Linked DNA regions of Notamacropus eugenii. The protein of the gene in region 1 purifies or fractionates together with the protein of each later gene. This does not show direct contact. Links are inferred from orthologs where the notes say so. Each region holds a gene or a part of one and is shown in the gene's direction. Other genes may lie near its edges. The genes, in order: ANAPC1, LATS2 and ANAPC16.

What was found.
Region 2: the proteins of ANAPC1 (region 1) and LATS2 purify together in Homo sapiens (affinity purification with mass spectrometry; 3 studies listed by BioGRID and IntAct, with this or other methods). This does not show direct contact. The link is inferred for Notamacropus eugenii from reciprocal best matches to the Homo sapiens genes ANAPC1 and LATS2.
Region 3: the proteins of ANAPC1 (region 1) and ANAPC16 purify together in Homo sapiens (co-immunoprecipitation; 5 studies listed by BioGRID and IntAct, with this or other methods). This does not show direct contact. The link is inferred for Notamacropus eugenii from reciprocal best matches to the Homo sapiens genes ANAPC1 and ANAPC16.

The regions. Positions count from the first base shown.
Region 1 is NC_092872.1:603,643,327-603,647,074, forward strand, and holds the start of ANAPC1 (anaphase-promoting complex subunit 1), read left to right. Parts: upstream 1-835; 5' UTR 836-3,492; intron 3,493-3,748. UniProt on the Homo sapiens protein: Component of the anaphase promoting complex/cyclosome (APC/C), a cell cycle-regulated E3 ubiquitin ligase that controls progression through mitosis and the G1 phase of the cell cycle.
Region 2 is NC_092876.1:188,106,472-188,110,219, reverse strand, and holds the start of LATS2 (serine/threonine-protein kinase LATS2), read left to right. Parts: upstream 1-965; 5' UTR 966-1,249; intron 1,250-3,748. UniProt on the Homo sapiens protein: Negative regulator of YAP1 in the Hippo signaling pathway that plays a pivotal role in organ size control and tumor suppression by restricting proliferation and promoting apoptosis.
Region 3 is NC_092872.1:238,074,912-238,078,659, reverse strand, and holds the start of ANAPC16 (anaphase-promoting complex subunit 16), read left to right. Parts: upstream 1-1,135; 5' UTR 1,136-1,208; coding exon 1,209-1,225; intron 1,226-1,489; coding exon 1,490-1,638; intron 1,639-2,052; coding exon 2,053-2,136; intron 2,137-3,748. UniProt on the Homo sapiens protein: Component of the anaphase promoting complex/cyclosome (APC/C), a cell cycle-regulated E3 ubiquitin ligase that controls progression through mitosis and the G1 phase of the cell cycle.

The DNA.
Region 1 (3,748 bases):
CCTAAGTAACATGTGGTAGGAGGAGCTTGCTGAATAGTAGAACAGGAAGGGTGGAGCAGAACTGGGAGGAAGTTGGTGAAAGCAGTTAGAGCAGAATAGAGAGAGAACATAGGCAGTCTTGTGAGTGTTTGCTTGTGGGAAAGCCGCAATGGGGAGGAAGGCTTGGAAATGGCTTTGTCCCCTGTAGTGCTAATGTGTATTGACTTCTTGGTTACTATGATGGATTTGGCTTTCTGGTGTCTGAATAAATCTTTTTCTTTTGCCTTCTATATGGAGAGTCTGTTATACTTTGTGATTCAGAATTATGCTGGCATATTCATCATCTCCCTTGGTCCTATGAATGTTGCCTTGGAGATACAGACCTACATTCTTGGTAATTCTGCCCTTAAAAGGTAATTATAAAGTATGTTTTGTTTATGCCTCCAGTTAGATAGCAAAACTCTGTAAAAATAGGTTGGGGTTGAGTTTCTAGCCTTGTAGTAGGAAAGGTCCCTCTCTCCTGAGTTGCTCCCCTTGCATCCTCATGCTGAGAAAATTAAAAAAAAAAAAAGATTGGAGGAAGGGGGACATGCAGGAAATATCAGAATTAGATCAACCATATGTGTTTATGATTAATAATATATTTTGACAACTCACTTTTTTAACAGAATAAATTTTAGGAACATACTTAGGTGGAAGTAAGACCAGAGTGGGGTGGGCCCCATTCTTTCATTTCTCCCAACTAGCTTGTTTCTCTCAGGGCTCTTGCTATCTGGGCAAGTCCCTATGATAACACAGTCACCCAACTCTCAGGTTGTTCACTTAGATGTCATCTCTCATATTAGGGTAGCTCAACCCCACTCCCCATTTTAAAACCCATTGTTCCATTCTAAAGAATAGAACTACAGATGTCTAGACATCCAAAGATGAAACTGTTCCCATAGTTTGGTTGTTGCCATGGAATGGCTGCTGGCTATCCTTTTTCTCCTCATTCTCCTAGTGCTCCGTGCCCCAAAACTCCTATTGTCAACTTGTGACTTTCTTCCCTATGTCAGAGGGCAGAACTACACATTCTATAAGTTTTTGTGGCCAGTCAACCCTTTCCTAGGAATTGTTAGCTCTATAGGTATACCTCAGAGACCTCCCTCCCCATAACTTAAAGCAAATATCACAATAAAGTGAGTCACACAAGGTTTTTGGTTTTCCAATGCATATAAAAGTTATGTTTACCTTAATGTACTAAGTGTGCAATAATATTATGTCTAAAAAACATGCATGCCTTAATTTAAAAATACTTTATTGTTAAAAAACGCTAACCATCATCTGACTCTTCAGTGAGTCATAATCTTTTTGCCGCTGAAGGGTCCTGCCTTGAGGTTAATGGCTGCTGAAGAGTGGGGTGGCTGTGGCAATTTCTTAAACTAAAACAATGAAGTTGGCCATATTGATTTACTTTTCCTTTCACAGAAGATTTCTCTGTAGCATGTTCTGTTGTTTGATAGCATATTACCCCCAGTAGAACCGCTTTCAAAACTGGAGTCATTCCTTTCAACTGCTACTTTCTCAACTAAGTTTATGTAATATTCTTCAATCTCAGGGAATAGGGAGAAGGGAGAAAGGTCATTGGAGCTGTCAAAACACATACACACAACACTTCAAGATTTATCTGGGTCTGATTTTTGGTGCCTCAAAACAATTACAATGGCAGCATCTAAGATCACTGAATGCAGATCACCAGAACAGTTAACAATAATGAAAAAATTTCAAATATTGTGAGAATTACCAAAATGCGACAGAGAGACACAATATAAGCATATGCTGTTAGAAAAGTGGTACCAATAGATTTGCTGGATACAGGGTTGCCACAAACCTTCAATTTGTAAAACAATTTGTAAAAACAAAAAAAATGTAAAATTAGTAAAAAAAATTTTGTAATTTGTAAAAGCAAAACAAATTAAAAAACCCAAAACAAACAAACAAAAAGCTTGAAATAGTTCATAACAGATATAAGGAATAAAGCTGTACTGGAAAATGTTTTTAACAGCTAATTCTTTTAAAAAAATACTCAGGACACACTTTAAAATTTACTCTCCATGATTAACATTTTCTACAGTCTAGACAACAAAACAATAAATCAAGCTTTGATTTGTAGTTGGCTGATTTCTAGTTCTTTAATCTCTGGAATTAGTTCTTTCAAGACCTTAATCTGAAAGGGCCAGGGTCTCCCATTGCATCCTGGGCCATCTTCAGTCATCCTGATGAATATCTGACCACTAGACCCAGGTGGCTCAGGAGAAGAGAGTGAGGTTGGTGACTGCACAGCCCTCCCTCACTCCAATCAAAGTCAATTGCAAGTCATGTCATCATCCTGACGTCATGGTCCTCTTCCAGAACTAAGCACAAACACAACAAGCTGAGGCACAACAGCCCAGTGCAGAAGGTGATCCCTGAACTGGGTCTTGAAGGAAGCCAGCACTGGGGAGACAAAGAAATAAGTGCAACAGGTCTTACCCTCCAGAAGCTGACATTGTAGGAGAAGAGAGAATGGGTCCACATAGAAGCATATACTAATTAAGTATATAAGGGTAAGAGTAAGGTAATGAGGGGATGGGGGAGGGGACCAGGAAAGACCCTATGGAAAAGACGCTGTTCTTGCTGAACTCTGATGGGGGGAAGGGATTTTAAGAGGCAGAGGGAGGGCATTCCCTGAAAGGGGGAGGGGTGGCACACAGCCTGTGCCAGGGAGGCAGGAGAGGGGCTGTCGGGGTGAGGCCAAGGTTAGACCCAAGAGGGCGAGAACAGTAAAGAGGGTAACCCAATAAACCCGGAAAGGTGAAGTTGGAGCAGTTTAGGAAGGATTTAAGAGCTTAGAAGAAGGTAAGAGATCGGTGCGTTAAGCTAGCACTATTTAAATGAAAACAACCACAAGCCCTCCCTCCTCCCCCAATAAATGTGACGGCCCTGCTTCCCAGCGCGGGGTGGAGTTTCGCTTTCATAATTTTCTTTCAGGGTCGGGGGACCAGGACCAGGACTCCAGCAGCCCGCCAAGGAGCCTCAGCCCCCGCGGCCCAGGTGTGCCGGCTTTGCCCCGCCCTCCTTCTCTCTCATTCGCTGGCGGGCTCCCTCTCGTCCTCTCCCTAGGCGGATCTAGAGGGCTCAAGAAGCGAGGCGGAGCATCCGCATCGGGCCACGCCCCTTCTGGGCGCGGGGCATGACGGGACATCCAAGATGGCCGCGCCCATTTGAACCTCTCGCCCGAGCCGCTCGCGCGCCCGCCAGCTAGATCTTCAGCCCTCCCGACAGTAGAGGCACCGCGTCGCCCTCCCGCCTTCCCCGCCACCGCCACCGCTTCCTCCGCAGCCCGGGAGGGAGAGGAGGGAGGGCATGAGAAGTTGTAGCGGCAGAGGAGTCACCGCCACGCATCGCTCCGCTTGCCCGATCCCGTCTTCGCCCCGGTCCCCGCGTCTCCGGGGAGCAGCAGGGGCAGCGCCCGACGTTTCCTGGGTCACTCAGGTGGGCGCGCCCCCCAGAAGGTGCCGAGGCCAAGCCTCCGCCGGGTCCGGCCTGGATGCTCCCCTGGCGCCTTTCCCTTCCTCCCGGTGCCCTGGGCTCTCCTGTGCGCTCCCGCCAGACTCCTTTCACCCCGACAGCCGCGGCCCCGCCGTTTTCTTGGCTTTGGGGGTGGGGGACACCGGGTCTCTCGGGGCAGAGGCTGCCCAGACTGTCCCGCTTCGCCCCTTGAGGCAGAGAAGGCGCGTGTCGCCGCGTA
Region 2 (3,748 bases), on another chromosome or scaffold:
CCCCTCTAACAGATGGAGATAGTAAGTTAATATTACATTTCACGGACTGATGATTTCACTGGCATTGGTTTTTGCCCACCTCCACAACGCAGAATGCAACTTCTTTGTAACTCAGTAGACTTTGAAAGTTAACCATGCTCAAAAACTTCATCACTCGGTGACCGAACTCGTGAAGAGCCTCCATAATACTCCGTTGCTTGTTTTAAGGTAGGACTCTCTTAAAGAGAGGCTAAATAACTTGTTGAACTAAACATAATGGAAGATTCAGGAATAGATTCTGGATCTGACTCCCCTCCCAGCTTCTCTGCACAATCGCTTCATTTTCGTTTGCTACAAAGTACACAGCCCCGAAGTGCTAACGCAGCACTGTACAAAGTACACACACACACACACACACACACACACACACACACACACACGTCACTCAATACTGCCAGCAGAAAACACACTGTTTTATGCACTGTACTGCAGTTCAAACAAAATATACGAGGTCAAGTGGGACTGGAGGGAGCTTAAGTTCGGTTTGCAAAGAGACAGCCTTCGTTCTTTGCGCGGTCCGATGGGTCCTTTAAGGAATTAGGAGGGGTCCCCTTGCTTGCGCCATGTTTCTGATGACTGCCAGCTGCTTGGTGACTCGCTTTCCCCTCCAGCCCAGTGGGTCTACGCCTCGGCAGCCCCAGGGAGATCCTTAAAGAAGCCAGCGGCAGCACGGGCCTGTGGGGCTACAAACTTTTCCAAGGGAGAGCTGTGGGGCGGGGGCAGAAGTGCAGAAATAACAGCAACCAAAGCTGGAGAATCCGTCACTGGCCGGGGCCAGAGACGGTGCCCCGGCTGGGTGACGGGGGACTGGGAGGGCGCAGGAGGTAGGAGCAGCGGCCGGACCCACAGCGGCGGCTCCGGCGGCTGCAGGAGCCCCGCCCGGGCTGGTATGCGGGCGGAGAATGACGCGGGAGGCGGGGTCACGTGACGCCCTTGGAATGCCAACAATGTAGCGAATGTCCCACTTGGGTCTGCGCGTTGGAACAGCGGCGTGAGCGCCCGGGGAAGATGGAGCAGCCGCCGCCGCAGCAGCCCCCGCCGCCGCCGCCCGCGACTCCTACGCTGCTGCCGCCTCCGCCCGGGGCACCCACCTCCCTGCGGGGCCAGCAGCGGCCCGAGCCGCCCGTGCCCGGCCGCTCAGCGCGAGAAGCCGCCGAGGCGCCGCTGGTCAGCGGCCCCCGCTGTTCCTAGACCCCACCCGTCTCTGGAAGTGAGTAGGCGCTGGGTGTGGAGTGATTGTGTGTGTGTGTGTGTGTGTGTGTGTGTGTGTGTCTAAGTGTGTAAGAGGGGGGCTGCAGTTATCAAAAGTTTGTCCGGGGGCTGCCAAGCTCAGGGTACTCCCTCTCCTCCTTCCAGTCCCCCACCTTCGCCGCGGGAGGTTCCGGACCGTCCGTCCGCGACGCTCCGCCGCGTGGGGCTGGCTCCGGCCAAGGGCAACGGCGGCCCCCCACTCTGGGGCGGAGAGTAGAGGGACCGAAGGGAAGTTTTCCCCTAGTCCGCCCCAGCTACTTCCCATTGGAGGGAGATAGCACCCACCCGACCCGGTGTCGGGTCGGGTCGGGACGAGGACGGTCCCAGAGCATCCTGGAGGGGGGTGAATTCGCCCGGTGGAGCGATGGCTCAGAGAGCCCATAACTCCGTCTCCGCCGTCCCCGCCGCCTCTACTGCAGCGCAAACTAAGTTTGGGACAAGTTGGCAGGGCACGGGCCGCGGGGACTTTGTCCGGGCGGTGAAGCTCCGGGTGCGCCTCTTTGTTGTGCGTCCCCAGGAATGGCTTTTCTGTGGTGTGTGAAGAAGGGGCAGGGTTACCCTTTTCTACCCAGCTGGCAACTGGAGGAGTCCGGAGACGGTGTCCTCCCTGGGCGGGGGTGGGGGAGATGCCTCTCTCATTCCTTAGAGGCGGAGAGAGCGAGAGGACCCGGGGATGTTGAACTGGGCTTTTCCATCAAAAGGTCCCTTGAGTCTAGACACTCTGATTCTGCTGGGGCGCTGCTGGCCCCGGGGCTCTTGACAACTCGGTTCTGTTTGGCTCAGCTGGGCCAGGCCCGTCCCAGGGGCAGTTGCACGTCACTGGTTGGGATGTCCCACGCAGGCCTCAATACCCTTGGGGCTCAATCCAGGCTCTCTCCCAGGCTTTTTTCTCTGTAAGTTTCCCTTTCTCCTTCATAAGTTTGTCTCGCTGTTTCCAACAAGCTCTTTAAGTTTCGGGAATACTTTCGCCGCGGTAGTTCTGGTGGCAGTTGCATAACATGTCTTCCCTGTGTCCTAGTTTAGCTGACTTTTCTGGGACTTGACTTTCTTAACTTCCTAATGCCACGCGCTCGCACTAACCCGGAGCGTTTATTTCCCCGGACCACCGAGGAAGGTGCTCATTGTGTTGTCTTGACTTTTTTTGTTTGTTTGCATATTACCTATCTACATTACCTGTCTTTGGAAACAAGGAATTTCAATTTTCCTTTTGGGAAAAATGCAGCCTATGGGACCAGATTGGCAGAAGACTGGAGCACTTGGCCGGAAAGCTTTTAATGTTTGATTCTTCCCAAGTTTTCTGTATAGTGTATCAGAATAAAACTACATCTGTATGTCTTGTTGGTATGGAGACGGCATGGTTAGAGTAACCTCCTAGGAGGAAATAGTCCCGACTCACCATGTGACCTTGAGCTGGTAAATACCACCTATATATTCCCTGCGGTGAAGTGAAAGCTAATGCTATTAAAAGCTCTGTCTACAGGATACTTTGTAAGGAAACATCAAGATGTATCTTTAGGAGTTACATTGTGTGAATAAAATAGGTTTTGGATAAGGACAGCAGCTGTTACATTATGGAGGAGGAGAGAAACACATTTAGGGCAAACTTAAAGTCTTCATTTGTAACATATGTGGTGACCTGAGCTTTGTGAACAGCGCTAAGCCAGAGAAGGTAATATTAATAGAGAATGTCAGCAATACATACGATAAGTAAAAATTCAAGTGAAATCTTTTCAGAAATAATTTTTTCATGAATTTGTTTATTTTTAAAGCAAACTTTGTGAATACTTTTAAGGCAGCCAGAATGAAGCAGGAATTCAGTTCCTAATTTCTGTTTGGATCTCAAATAGTCTGCAAATTGTAAAATTTTTGAAATTGGTGGGTAATGTGAAGCAAATAAAGGTGAAAGTAGATAGTTGTTTACTTTCAGAAAGGTTGTACCTAGAAGATTTTGGCCTTTATTTTAGGATAAATATCTGCTGCAGGTTGGATTCCCTAACATCTGCTTGAGAACCATTCATTCTTGGAGTGCTACAAGGAATGAGCTACTTCCGACCTTTTTAGCTTGTTTCACAATGCCTATTGTAATTCAAATGTATCACTAAATTAGAACTTCCAAATTCAGCAGAAATGAACTGTTCAGAAAAGGGTCTTTTAAATTTACATGACAGTTTGAGTTGACCTCATAAAATTTGGTCTAATTAGCTCCAGTTACATAGAGAATTCTGCTTAATGAATATATGTGTATTCCTTTGAAACGAATTCTCTGAGCACTTAATCAGAAGAGTCAAAGTCAGAAACTCAGATAATTTTGAAATTGTGTCTTAGATAATAACTGGTGTGGAAATATTCAGGTTAATTAGTAGGATCTTAGAAACTTAGAGCTAGTAGGGACATTAGAGACATAGAGTGTAAACCACCTCATGTAATTTGAAGTAGTTTTCAACTGATACTAAAACAA
Region 3 (3,748 bases), about 370 Mb from region 1:
ATAGAATGATGAACCTGGAGTCAGGAAGAGCTGAGTTCAAATGCTACCTCAGACACTTAGTACACCTAGTAGCTGGGTGACCCTGGGCAAGTCACTTAACCTCTGTTTGCTTCAGTTTCCTCAGCTGTGAACTAGAGGTAATAATTGTATCTACTTTGCTGGGTTGTTGTGAGAACCAGATGAGATACTTGTGAAAAGCACTTAGCCTGGTGCCTAGCACTGTGCACATAGAAGGTACTTTATAAATGCTGGTTTCCTTCCCTTCCTTTTCAACGTTCTTTCAAACTCTGAAACTTAGGATCATATGAATTTCTCCTTATGACTGATTGTCATCAACTTAGTGAGAAGTAAGGAAGGGTTTTGATGTAGGGTATAGTAAGATTGCTAATTCCATTGAGACACTTTTAAGGAGCTCCCGGCTGTACCAGTTTCTCTACAGCCCCTAGCCTACAGACCTGTAACCTTTCTCAGTATCCCTTGCACATATAAACCAGAAACCAGGCTTCTTGTTTTGGACATCAGAGCAGTGAGGAAGCAGAATGGTATCTCAGAGGTGATTGTTGGGCTTTTTTTCCTCATGTGGAAAACCAGAAAGTAGACAGTCTTTTTCAGAAAATAGGCAAACTTCCTACCTTTTCTCCAGGGTTATTTAGATTAAATGCAATTCAGTTCCAGTAGCAAACATTTAGATACCAACTATATGCAACGCACTATGGAAATATGCCTAGCAAAAATTATTTTTTTTACATATACCGTTAGTGAGTAGTGAATTTAAGTAGAAAATTCTCATTGGGAGCCATATTAAACATAACCAGGCTATTGAATTGATGGATTTTAGGGAGTATTTTTAGTTTGGAGACGCCACCAGGTGATGACTTTGAGTACTACATTTGCTTTAAATGTGTGCAAAGCTCAAAAAATGAAAAGTTGTGTTTCAGACTGATTGCCTCACCTCAGGAATGAAACCCAGTGTTCACCTGGGAGGCTAAAGGTTTACTTGGAAGTTCTGATAACATTTGGTTTTGGCACAGAGTGATAAGTGTGTGTCCAGGACAGATTGTTCTTTCTGGCATACTTGCTGTCTCAGTGACATAGTTTGGTTTCTTCTCCAGTCACATTGTTGCATCAGCACTGCCTGCCTTGGCACCTGGGTTATAGCCTATAAACTGTTCACACCTTCTGTCTGGAGCTTCCTTTTAACATCAGTAATGATACTTTTTAAAAGGTGGGAAGTTTTTTTGGGGGGTGGTTGTGTTTTTTTGGTGTAGTGGTGGTTTGTTGTTTTTGTTATTTTTGAGAAAGCCAACTACCAGCAAATTTATTTTCTCTTCCGAACTAGAGTCAGGATTTCACCCAGGACATAAGGAATGGGGAGGTTGTGAGAGATCTGACTGCTGCCCAGAACTGAATTCAGTCTTGTCTGGTTCTGTTTCCATAAACCTGCTAACTGCTGTTGTGTTTTTCTTTTTCTTTTTCTCTCATTGACTAGAAAGAAAATGGCTGCCTCTTCATCCTCGTCCTCAGCTGGAGGGGTCAGTGGAAGTTCTGTAACTGGATCTGGCTTTAGTGTCTCAGACCTTGCCCCACCACGGAAAGCCCTTTTCACCTACCCCAAAGGAGCTGGAGAAATGTTAGAAGGTGAACATACTCTGCTTTTTGCTGAATAATTAGATTCAAATTTATAATAAAATAGTAAAGTATCTATTAAAAGGAATGTAGATAGAAGTATACCAGCCTCAAAACAGAATAACCTCTTTTTCACGTTCCCTGTTTTGTCCCTAATGTCCAAGGAACTCTCTGTCCTCTAGTTAGCAGGTTGTATCTTTTTTTTTTTTTTAGCTTACCATACTAAAGAAAAATAAACCCCATTACCTAGTTTCTAGGAGATGAAAATAATCTTAATATAGACTTAATTATGTATATATAAACTTAATTTTAAAATAGACTAAATGTAAAATTAACATTACTAACTCCACTGCCAGGGCATGTGCTTTGAGTTTTTCCAGTGGTAGAGATGGATTTGCATTGAACCATCCTCACTCTCTCATTCAGACCTCCTTGTGACCAACAACAGACATTTGCAAAACAGCTGGCCAAGGTTAGGGATGCAGTCTGTGGCCATGGAAAAGAGCAAAGGTAACTCTACATATGGGAAAACCAACCCTGGATCTCAGCCTTTTTCGCATAATGCAGTAACCAACTGAGCTAATCCCTTGGGGGTATGGGAACCATTCTGATCACCGCTAACCTCTTGCTTATATATAGGATATTGGCCCTTTATCTCTCTATTTCTAATCTCACCAGTGCATCTGGGCCCCTTGGCAGACCCTTGGAAGTGTTAGTATGTATGAGAGGCAGGCTTTATATAGTCTGTAAAAAAGGGCTCAACTTGGAATCAGAAGACCTCAATTCCCATTCTGATTCTGCTACCTAGTGGCAGTGTGGCTATTCACTCTACCTTTCTTGTCACATTCTCTCCATATGTAAAATGGGGATAATTGTGCTTGTCCTAGCTACGTCTGTAGAGTTGGTATGAGAAAAGTACTTTGTAGACCTTAAAGCACAATGTAAGCAAATGCGTAAGGTTATTATCTGGTGCAGAGTTGTTCCCCCTCCCAAAGCAGTTCATCATCCTTTTGGCTATTACAGCCTTCAGTATTCACATTTATAAACTTATCTGGATATTTCTCTTTGCTTACACACATGAGAAAGGTGAAATCTGCCGCTTGAGGAATCTGCTTGTGGAATCAGTGCTTTTAACCTGGGGAAGCAGAGAGGTAATTTGTGAAAGAAAAATGCAGGAGGGTTAACTGTGAAGCCCATGAAGACTTCTAGACTTGGTTTGTATTATTAATATAGTGGATAACTTAGCAGTATAGTCCAGTGAACAGTCTTTACTAAGCCCCTACTCTGTGCCAGGCACTGCTAAGTTCTGAGAATATAAAGAATGGCAAAAACATGATCCCTGCTCTCAGTGACAGTCCAGTGCAGGGGAGATGACAGGCAAATGAGACATAAGCAGGGTAATTCAGAAATGATCAGCCGAGGGAAGATGCTAGAATTAGGAGGATTGTACAAAGTGAGATTTTAGCTGAAACTTCAGGAGGAGGAGGAGGCATAGATGAGGAAGAAGGAAATTCCAGGGAAAATGCCTGTACAAAGACCAGCTTATGGGGCTGGTTGTCAGAGCATGGAGAAGGAGCCAGGTCATGAAGATCTCTAAATGTCAAGCAGCAGAATTTCTATTTGTTCCGGGATTGTAATTAATAACAGTTCTGATGTGGGCTTCTGTCCTTCTAGTCTTACAGAGATCTGGAGCGAGAAGAAGAGCTGTGTACCAGGATGCACGTGTTAGCACCATTGACCCTGTAGGCAGCTTGGAGCTAGTGTTCTGTTATGTTAAGCACAGTACCCCATATGCTAGTATGAGTTATGTGGAATGAAGGAGTTTGGCCTCAAAACAAATTAAAAATTTAATTGCTCAGTAGCTTCCATGTGGGCAGAAGAGGTTCCATTTAGATTTAGAAATAAGTAAGTCTAATTGGCAGCATTTCATTCTAGCCAAGAAGAGAAAAAAACAATTTTTAATAAAGACAATATCTTCATGTACTTAAGATCATTAGCATCATTTTACCCTCAAGTATTAACAAGAGGAAAGAAAGCCCTCTAAATTGAGTTTAAATGTTGATGCTTTTCTAAGTTATGGTTTCATCAGGGCCTCTCCCATCCCATTACACTTTATAGAAAG